Linked DNA regions of Sus scrofa. The protein of the gene in region 2 purifies or fractionates together with the protein of the main gene of each other region. This does not show direct contact. Links are inferred from orthologs where the notes say so. Each region holds a gene or a part of one and is shown on either strand. Other genes may lie near its edges.

The links.
Region 1: the proteins of ITGA2 (region 2) and ITGB1 purify together in Homo sapiens (co-immunoprecipitation; 3 studies listed by BioGRID and IntAct, with this or other methods). This does not show direct contact. The link is inferred for Sus scrofa from reciprocal best matches to the Homo sapiens genes ITGA2 and ITGB1.

What each region holds. Positions count from the first base shown.
Region 1 is NC_010452.4:56,095,016-56,100,698, reverse strand, and holds part of ITGB1 (integrin beta-1), read left to right. Parts: intron 1-597; coding exon 598-820; intron 821-2,258; coding exon 2,259-2,429; intron 2,430-2,946; coding exon 2,947-3,185; intron 3,186-5,215; coding exon 5,216-5,371; intron 5,372-5,683.
Region 2 is NC_010458.4:32,411,640-32,417,322, forward strand, and holds part of ITGA2 (integrin alpha-2), read left to right. Parts: intron 1-755; coding exon 756-866; intron 867-1,217; coding exon 1,218-1,300; intron 1,301-3,565; coding exon 3,566-3,707; intron 3,708-4,862; coding exon 4,863-4,955; intron 4,956-5,683. UniProt on the Homo sapiens protein: Integrin alpha-2/beta-1 is a receptor for laminin, collagen, collagen C-propeptides, fibronectin and E-cadherin. It recognizes the proline-hydroxylated sequence G-F-P-G-E-R in collagen.

The DNA of each region.
Region 1 (5,683 bases), on a different chromosome or scaffold from region 2:
ATTCTAAAAGCCTTATTTATGGTAATAGCCAATACCTAAACTTTTTTTAAATCTCTAAGAATACTTACTAAATCTGTGCTAAATTTCTTGGTCTCCTTTTTAAGAACCTTAAAAAAAGGATTTAGTATGATGTTTTAAATATTCAAAATATTCAAAAATGCCATGAAGGAAAATGCTTCATAATACAAGAGGCTTCTAAGAATTTTTCTAAGGGAAAGTTTGGGGAAAAAAATTTGATATTTGTGTATATTCCTTGCTAGTGGCTGTTGACCATGGTGAGTAAATAATTTCACTGAAGAAATTTCTTTGAGTGGATACTCTGAATTTGAATGTGAAATGGGTAAGATGTACACATAGGTCAGTCCTGAGTATTATTGAAGTAATACATTACTAGTAATAGTAATAAAGGTATTAATACTTTTAAGGAAAACTTTAGCTTATTTTTAAGTAAAATTACATACTATGTTTTGGATAAAGGGAACACTTTGTTTAAAAACCAGAAATGAAGTATATTAGATGGTTCACCTGGTTTTTGCAATTTAACTGGTTTGACCATGTAACTTTTTTACTTAAACCTATATTTTATATGCTCTTTAGACATTTTTACAAGAAGGAATGCCTACTTCTGCTCGATGTGATGATTTGGAAGCCTTAAGAAAGAAGGGTTGTCATCCAGATGACATTGAAAATCCCAGAGGCTCCAAAAATATAAAGAAAAATAAAAATGTAACCAACCGTAGCAAAGGGACAGCAGAGAAGCTGCAGCCGGAAGATATCACTCAGATCCAACCACAGCAGTTGGTTTTGCAGTTACGATCAGGTACTTCAGTCTGATTCTATGAATATTTTGTTTCCCCTTGAGCTTTTTGACAACTTGATGTAAGTTTCTGTGAGGGTTCATTTTCACATGTGAACGGGCACTACAGTAGACGTGTTGACTACATTAACTGTTAGAAATTTTTTGCAGGTACAACAATTTGTAAGAAGAGTGTATGTGAAGTAAATGTTGCCTAATGTCCACAGTAAATTCTGTTGAAGATTCAGAAAGTATTAGATTTAATGAGTTTTAAAAAATAAACACGTCCATCTTCTGGTCTAATTCCGGAATATAAAGACAACATTTTAATGTATTTTTTCCTTTGTTTTTATTCAGTATTGTTAAAATATTAAGTGTTTTAGCAGCCCCACATCTGGAGAAAAGAAAGAGAGCACAAGCACCCTTTCTCCTCTTCCAGTTTCCAGCCGCTTCCTCTCAAGGAAACGTCCCCCCAGCTTCCCCTCCCACCCTGTCCAAAGCCTAGTTCTGCCCGACTTCTGCTTCCTGAACTCCTCTGGCAAAGCCCTGCCGCCACCTGGAGCCCTTGGGCCTGGTGGACCCTCATCAGGCCTTTTTTCTTTCTTTCTTGAAACTTTCAAGTGCTCTTCTTTTGGCTTCTGGGATAACACTGCTGCTTTTCGTCTCATCTCTTAGCAGTGATTTCCAGTGTTCTCCCTGTGTCTCCTTCCGTCCTTCCTTCCTCTTTATAGTCCACTTAATGATTGGTCTTCCTCTCATGATTTTAAAGCCATTTGTGTGGCTGTAACGTAGACTTTCTTCTTAAGTTCCAAACCCGGTTATCCAACTGCCTACTGGAAACCTATGTAGAGAAAATCGGTAAATAAAAATTTAATGACTTTTCACCCACATCTCTTGGATTTTACCTCACACCTCTGGTACATCTCTTCTCCTTCCTCTTTGTTTCAGTTCAGATCTTTATTGTCTCTCTGTTAACAGTTTCTTAAGTTTATGTGTCTAATTCATCTTTAAAACTTTTTGTGAGGTTTTCTAAAGTGCAAATCAGATTGTTATTCACTGCAAGCAGTGCGTCGCACTAGACAGCAGAGTCTTGACTTTATAACGCCAGGCTCTCAGAAGTCCAGCGAGCCCCATAGTGGACCTGCCTCACCACCCAGTCTAGTTTGTGTGGGCCCATCTGTCTGTTTGCCTCTGTTGTCCTTATAAACTCGCTCTCCGCCTGTCTTGCCTGCGGTGGACTGGGAATGCTGTCTTTTTCATCATCCCCAGGGCCTGGCGTTTTAAGTATTTATGGATGAAATGAGGACATACCCATTGAGTTACCTATGAAATGCCCAGGTTTTTTGTAAAAACTATGTCAATAAATTTCACTGTATAGTGTTTGCCTTATAAATCGACTGACTTGGTTTTTCTCATTCACTTTGGACTACTGGGAAGCTAATTGTCTAGTCCCTTTAACTAGGGGAGCCACAGACGTTTACGTTGAAATTCAAGCGAGCTGAGGACTATCCCATTGATCTCTACTACCTTATGGACCTCTCCTACTCCATGAAAGACGACTTGGAGAACGTGAAAAGCCTTGGAACAGATCTGATGAATGAAATGAGGAGGATTACTTCAGACTTCCGAATTGGTAGGAATTTTGACAAAATTAATACTTTTCATTTGTAAAAATCTGGGCAGTTTTGTTCTTCACCACATACACATGAGATAAATGGGCCAGGTTTTACCCTTGTGTTCATAAGAGGATGCACATTCCTGTGACACATCTAACAATTTTTCTGCCTCTTGTTCCTCTTACTGTAGGCTGCCATGTTATTTGACACACATTACACCACACATAGATGGTGAAATGCATGCTTGTTTTCATAGGTATTTATTCATTTGTTGATTTATTTTATAAACATGTTGATTGCTTGGATTCTATTTCATTGCTAGTTAATATGACCACACCTGCCCTGTATAACCTTAATCTCCCATCAGACCTGGATATTTTTATACAGTGATATCTTTTCCAACCCTTATTATTTCTTAAAAAAAAAGATTGACTTATAGGTGGTTACATACTTGATTTTATTTTAGTGCAACTTATCCATCTGTCCAACCATACACCCTCCATCTGTCATCACAGTCTGCATTTTCCTTCACAGGATTTGGCTCTTTTGTGGAAAAAACTGTGATGCCTTACATTAGCACAACACCAGCTAAGCTCAGGAACCCTTGCACAAGTGAACAGAACTGTACCAGCCCATTTAGCTACAAAAATGTGCTCAGCCTTACTGATAAAGGGGAAGTATTTAATGAACTTGTTGGTAAACAGCGCATATCTGGAAATTTGGATTCTCCAGAAGGTGGCTTTGATGCAATCATGCAAGTTGCCGTTTGTGGAGTAAGTGCATTCAATGTTATTTGTGTGAATTTTGTGTTATTTTGCTGTCAGAAGAAATTACCTTAATTACCATGTCATATTTGACTAATCCCTTAAATTCCCTTCAACTACAAGTGCTTCATAAAAGTATAATTGTAATGTCTCTAAACCAGGCAGTTCATTTACAGAGGGTTTTAAAGGCCAGAATGCGCACCATTTGAAATAGTGGGGCAGTTTAGCTTTAGCCTGGTGCTCTGTGTCTTTAGAAGAGACCAAGGTACCCTAGCTTTCTGGCTTTGTGCCTGAGATAGAATTGGGGTTATCAGAAGCATTAAAAATGCTTAAATAAACTTTGTCCTAGACACCATTTTCCTTTGGTAACTTTTCTTCTGCTTGTCATCTTTGAAAGGCATCTTCCCTTATCTTAGGAATTCAAAAAGAAAGAACTTTTAAAATCCTAGTTTGAAAGAATATATGAGAACGTGTATTTTGAGAAGTCATGTAATATTTGTAATTTTAATTGCAAGATTTTCAGTGGTTGTAAACTGATCTCCATTGGAGTAGTGATTAGAATTTTCTGTTTACCAGCTGAGATTTTGGGATGACCTTTTAATGATACAGGTGACGTTGAAACTAGGAAACATTGTGAGGTAGATAAAGTTCGTCTTAAGTACCTAAGACGTCTCGTTCCCTCCCCCCATTTTCCCTTATAGTACCCTGTGCCCTAGAACACCTTCCTGGACTCCAGTGCTTCTTTGCTTCTCAGCCAGTTTTTAATATGCTGCTTGATACCCGAGATGATAATATGGTATAGCAATATGATGTAGTGTTTTTATACTTCTAAGACTGTTAGGACACATCTTCAGATTTTCCATCACTGCTCGTCCACTAGGCAGTTTCCTTGCCCTTCCAGAGGCTATTTCCGTCTTCTCTTAAGGAGGGGTAATAACAGATAGACCTCACAGGGCTGTTCTGAAGTTTAAATATGACAGTCCGTACAAGGTGCCAGTAAGCAACCTAGTAAATATTAACTGCTGTGTCATCATTACTTTGACTTCTCACTGGGGTAGTTACACTTTAAGGCTAGTCTCTACTTTTAAAGGGGAAGAGAGAGATTCCAAGTCATGCCAGGCTTGATGGTCTGCTTTCTTTCCAGCCATTGCTTGTGATCCTGTTAGCAGCTCACTGTGCAGAGCGCTTTCCCTGGGCTGCCTCTACCTGTGCCTCAGCCTTGGGATGAAAACAAGCCATATCATCTGTGGCTGCTGCTCAGTGTTGCTCGTGCTGACAGAGCTGTTCCATTTACTTCTCTAAATGCAAAAGAGACAGACATTTCACTTGGACTGCCAGCATAATAAACTGAATTCCTGCCTTCAAGGAGTTTAGTCTTAGAAGGATATATACAGATGTATTGAGTAAACTTAGACACGTATGATTATAAAATTATCATAGAAGATTTTACTACTACTTTACATTCTTTACTGAATAAGGTGGAGAATAAAAAATGAACAAACAGTACTGAGGGCTTAGAACGGATAGAATTAAGTAGGGCAAGTCTTGGGAGAAGGTACTTTTTAAAAAGGAAGATGACTTTTAATATGGAGGAGGCTGATTAAGGAATTATGCACTACAGAAGATAGACCAAGGATGGATGGGAATGAGACAAAGTTGGGCAAAGTTAGGTGTGGGCCAAGACTTTTTCATTTACTCATTAAGCACCTATTGTGTGCCAAGCACTGTGACAACTGCTGGATATATGATGCACGAACCCAGATGTGGTTCCTGCCTTACACGAAGTGAATGCACCTTGTAGTGGGAGAGAGATTGACTTTAACAGAGTTTTTAAAAAAGAGCTCAGAGAAATGGACAGCTAGGCAAGTGGAGCTTTACAGTGTGCTCTCTGCCTTCATCAGCAAGGGCGTTAGCATTGTGAAAAGAGAATACAGAATTAGGTTGAAACTACAGTGGTAGCCTATACAAAGGTTAAAAGATTTATGTTGAATTATTGTGGGTAGTATTTTAAAATTGAAATCTTTTTTTTTTTTTTTGAGTCGTTGATTGGCTGGAGGAATGTGACACGGCTGCTGGTGTTTTCCACGGATGCTGGGTTTCACTTTGCTGGAGATGGGAAACTTGGTGGCATTGTTTTACCGAATGATGGACAGTGTCACCTGGAAAATGATGTATACACAATGAGCCATTACTACGTAAGTGCTTAGTTCCTCACATATCGAATGGATTCAAGTTGAATTTAGGATCAATACTAAAAAAGTACTGTGGGTGACTGTCTTAGGGGTTTTCAGGGTTTGGGGTTTGTTATTTTGCTGAGTTGGGCCCTGATCTAATGTGCAGGAAAGCTTGTGTTGCTGTTTTAAGACTGTGGCTTTGTGTTCACTTCCTGGCGGGTGAAGGGAGCTGCTGACTCCTTCAGCCCAGGGCTCTGTCCTCTCACTCGTATAGTCACTGGATAGCAAGTTTTATATTCTGTCTGAATAAGTGACTTGTGTAGTCTTATACTC
Region 2 (5,683 bases):
AGCTGCTAACAGCCAGCTAGGCCTGAAGTTGGGAAGCTTGGCTTGGGTGTGGGAAACACTTTTCTTTTTAGGCCACACCTGCAGCATATGGAAGTTCCCAGGCTCTAGGTGTTGAACTGGAGCTGCAGCTGCCAGCCAACACCACAGCCACAGCAACGTGGGATCCAAGCCACATCTGCGACCTACACCACAGCTTGCAGCAATGCCAGATCCTTAACCCACCAAGCAGGGCCAGGGATCAAACCTGAATCTTCAGGGATCCTATGTTGGTTTCTTAACCTGCTGAGCCACAACAGAAACTCCCTCTTGTCCACCCCTAACAGCCAGCCCTGGGCACTTTCCCTTCTAGGTTGAAATATTCTCTTCTAAAGATTTAGTTGGGACTCGTTGTCTTAGCAGTAGGAATTGGAAGACCATGGCCAATAACCCAAGAGCTGGGTTCTGACAGAGGGGTCTTTTGAACATTTAAAATGGGCACCTCATCTAAATAGTTACAGTTGCTTGTGTGTAAATAATCAGAGTACCGATGAGCCTAACTAAGAATTGCTGCTTCAGATTTTTACTGAGCCCAAGTTTTTAGGTCTTGTAGCAGTGGACAGGCTAAGAGCAGACAGAAGAGAAGTTAAGTCTTGACAATTCAAATGAGAACTATTCTGCACAATAGAGAGTGAACTGTTTTCTTCATCAATCGTGAACACATTTGTGGTCATTTCTTATTCTGCCCTAATGAACTGACTCTGTGCTTGTGTGTTCAGAAGCCCTCTGATGTTGTCAACTCTCTGGATCTGTGTGTGAACATCAGTCTGGAAAACCCTGGCACCAGCCCTGCCCTCGAAGCCTACTCGGAGTCAGCCAAGGTCTTCAGTGTAAGTGCGGTTTGCCCTTCCTGGAATTCTTACTGGCTGACAAAGTTTTGCAGTCACTGCAGTAGTGTTTGAAAGATACTTAGAACATAGCCTTTAAGTTGTTAATTTTCTAAATGAAATACAGTTACCTATATGTGAAGTTCACCAGCATGTAAGTTCCATAAAGCAGGGATTTTTGTTTTTCTTGTTCCCTGCCCTATTCCCGGGACCTCAAGCAGTTCTTGGCTCCCCATAGGTGTTCAATAAATATTTGTTGAAGAAATATATAATAATAAAGTGAATACCTTGTGCTCGCCACACACTTAAAAAAATTAAAATGATACTGATACCTATAAAATTCTTTTTTTGTAGATCCCTTTCTATAAAGACTGTGGTGATGATGGAATTTGCATCTCTGATCTAGTTCTAGATGTTCAGCAGCTACCGGCCACTCAGTAAGTTTTACTTTAAAGCTCAGTGAAACTGTAGAAATAAAAGACACATTAGATTATTTATTCACATGAATGTTTATGGAGTTTTTTTATATCAAAAAAAACCCCATCTGTCACTACTAAAGCCCTTTAAAATCTAAATTTCAAAATATCTAGGAATAAACTTAATCAATAGGGTGAGAGATCTATACTCTGAAAACTATAAAACATTGATGAATTTGAAAATGACCCAAAGAAATAGAAAGATATCCCTTGCTCTTAGATTGGGAGAATTAACATTATTAACATGTCCAGGAGTCCCTGTTGTGGCTCAGTGGAATCAAACCTGACCAGCATCCATGAGGATGCGGGTTCAATCCCTGGCCTCACTCACTGGGTTAAGGATCCAGTGTTGCTGTGAACTGTGGTGTAGGTTGCAGACATGGCTCAGATCCTGTTCTGCTGTGGCTGTGGTGTAGGCTAGCAGCTGCAGCTCTGATTTGACTTCTAGCCTGGGAACTTCCATATACCATGGGTACAGCCCTAAAAAAAAATAAAAAATAAAAATAAAAATGTATATGAAACCATAGAAGACCCCAAATTGTCAAAGCCATCTTGAGCAAAAAGAACAAAGTTAGAGGAATCATGCTTCCTGACTTCAGGCTATGCTGCAAAGCTACAGTCATTAAAAGAGCGTGGTACTGGCACAAAACCAGAAATGCAGATCAACAGAACAGAAGAGAGAGCCCAGAAATAATTCCACATGCTAATGGTCACTTAAGCTACAAAAAGGGATGCAAGAAAATACGACAGTCCCAAGAAATAGCAACAACAACAAAAAAGACAAAAGACAAAAAAAAAAAAACTTGTCAAACACCATTCAAAGTAAGAAAACTCCATAATAATCACACTTACAGAGAATACAATAACCCTAAATATTTCTGACTTCAAAATAAATTTCACTTCCTCTGAAATTAAAAAAAAAAAAGAAAATACGACAGATAAAAAGACAGTCTCTTCAATAAGCAATGCTGGGAAGGCTGGACAGCTACATGTAGAAGAATAAAATTAGAACATTATCTCATACTATATACAAAAATAAACACCAAATGGATTAAAGACCTAAATTTAAGACCTGAAACCATAAAACTCCTAGAAGAGAACATAGGCAGAACACTCTTTGACATATATCATATCAATATTTTTTTTGGATCTGTCTCCTAAAGCAGAAGAAATAAAAGCAAAAATAAACAAATGGAATCTAATTAAATTAAAGAGCTTTGCACAGCAAAGGAAACCATTGGCAAAACAAAAAGGCAACCCACTAAATGGGAGAAAATATTTGTAAATGATATGATCAATAATGGGTTAATACCCAAAATACATATATACAACTCAATATCAGGAAAAAAAATCTGACCAAAAAATGGGCAGAAGACCTGAATAGACATTTTTCCAAAGAAGTCATACAGATAGCCAACAGGCACATATAAAGATGCTCACCATCACACATCATCAGAGGTATACAAATCAAAACCACAGTGAGGTATTACCACATACCTGGCAGAATGGCTACCACCAAAAAGAACACATATAACAAATGTTAGCAAGGACGTGGAGAAAAGGGAAAACTTATGCGGAAAACTGTTGGTGGAAATGTAAATTGGTGCAGCCATTATGGAAAAAATTATGGAGGTTCCTCAAAACACTAAAAATAGAACTATCATAAGATCCAGCAATTCAACTCCTGGATATACATCCAAAGAAAACAAAAACATTAATTCAAAAAGACACATGCACCCCAATGTGCATAGCAGCATTATTTACAATAGCCAAGATAGGGAAGCAACTTAAGGGTCCATCAACAGATGAATGGATAAATAAGATGTCATATATCTATATGGAATATTAGTCATAAAAGGAATAAAATTCTGGTATTTACAATAACGTTGATGGACCTAGAGAGTATTATGCTTCATGAAATAAGTCAGACAATACTCTTATCACTTACATATAGATTCTAAAAAAATAAATGTATATAACAAAACAGAAACAGACTCACAGATAAAAAGAACAAACTAGTGGTTACCAGTGGGGAGAGGGAGAGAGGAAGGGGCAAGATAGAGGTAGGGGATTAAGAGATACAAACTATTATGTATAAAATAGAAAAGCAACAAGGATATATTGTTTAGAGCACAGTAAAGTGTAGCCAGTATTTTATAATAACTTTAAATAGAGGGTAATCTATAATGACTTTTTTTTCTTTTTTCTCCTCTTCACTTTTAACAGACAACAGCCATTCATTGTCAGCAACCAGAACAAAAGATTAACATTTTCAGTAACACTGAAAAACAAAAAGGAAAGTGCATACAACACTGGAATTGTTATTGCTTTTTCAGAAAACCTGTTTTTTGCTTCCTGGTCCATGCCGGTATGTGAGAGCACCTGCCTTAACTGTTCTTCTGCTTCCTACTTGTCAATTACCATCTTCCTTATGATCAAATCTCCGCATCCTCTGTGTTGTCTAAAGGAACATCTTCACCTTCAGTGTGATCAGTTCTAACCTGTGGCTCTCAGCTAGTTAAACCACTTGAGAACAAAGCCTGGCTGGGTATCTAGACCAGTTCTGCCGCACAGAGTGGGTCAGTTTTTCCTTCACCCTGATACTTGGCAGTAGTAGCCAGACTCTGCTGTAAACTCTCCTCAAGCCATCTGTGTGATGAGGCTGCCGAGAGGCCACACAGATGCTGTGAGCTGCACTTGCTCTGAGAAGTTAGAGTCCCACAGCTCAGCCCGAGCTTCGTAACCACAGGTTTTGCTGCTGCCAAGACGATGCATTCCAGCGAGGTCAGTTAATCATGTTGACTTGATCGCTATACCAGGAACACATTTGACCGTGGATGCCCCGCTGGGCCTCCTCTGCCACCAAGCAATGAAAAGGAGAGTAGGGGAAAACTGAGATTTTCCAGATTCACTCCTTGATGAAAGGACTCAAAAACGGTTTCATCCAATTTAAAGTCCGTGTGAACTTAATAGATTAAGTGTCTAAACCCATTCTGACGTCAGTGCTTAAATTTCTTGTGTCAAATGACAACTTAAAGAGAAAAAAATAAGCAAAACTAAAAAAGGTTCCTTAAGTTATTTAAAATATAGATTAAAAACAGTATAAGGTTTTTCTCTAGAAACTACAAATATTAAATGTATTGATAGAAAGGTATGTATTAAAGACAGCATTTCTAAATAATGGATTAAAGTTGTGCTGCAGAAATAGAATAGGATTTACTTCTGGGGAAAAGTTCAGTATTTAACCTCTCCTTTGTCTTGTTGGGCATCCTGGTTAGCAATAAAAATAGTACATTAGCTGCCTGAACAATACGTATAAGACTTTCAAATCTTGGGAGATAATAAATTACTTGAGTGTGAACCAACCTTACTGCTAAAATGTCTAGGTGGTTCATGCATCCTTCAGCACATATGTGTATCTGTGCACGTACACACACGCACACGCATGCGCGCGCGCCACACACACACACACACACACACACACTGAATACTAATTGATCATTGTTTCCTTGGTCTCATTCAGGTTGATGGGACAGAAGTGACATGCCAGATCCCTTCATCTCAGAAGTCTGTTACCTGTGATGTAGGCTATCCTGCTTTAAAGAGGGAAGAACAGGTACAACTTGTAATTCATCCTCAAATTCATCTGGCCTCTCCTCACCATTGGTGTTAATTCACCAACATACCATCTTCTTTATTAGGTACCATCATTTGATAGGCATCACACAATAACTGGCCGCATATTTAGAGGAAGTGTTTTAATAATACCTGCATGCTTTCTTTTTTTTTTTCTTTTCTTTTTTTTTTTTAGGGCTGTATCCACAGCATATGAAGGTTCCTAGGCTATGGGTCAAATCAGAGCTACAGCTGCTGGCCTACACTAGAGCCATAGCAATACAGGATCCAAGCCATGTCTTCGATCTACACCACAGCTCATGGCAACACCAGATCCTTAACCCACTGAGAGAGGCCAGGGATCGATCTTGCAACCTTATGGTTCCTCGTCGGATTCATTTCTGCTGCGCCACAATGGAAACTCCCCTGCATACTTTCTTTAAATTATTAATAACAGCGGGTTTCTGCCTCCCCCCACCCAAAGCAATTCATTCCCCAAAGCACGTACAATATGAAAGTTCTTTTTTTTTCTGAAAACATTTATCCAACACTGGTCAATGTGCTTTATACAGAGTCACAGATAGCATTTGTTCATCCTTGGTAAGTAAATTTCACATCCACACAAAGCCTTCAAGTTTGAACAAGTAGAAGTGCCTGTGATGTGCTGTATGTACATGTCAGGTGAATTCAGTTCTATTCTGAAGGGAAGGCAAGGTGGACAAATCCACA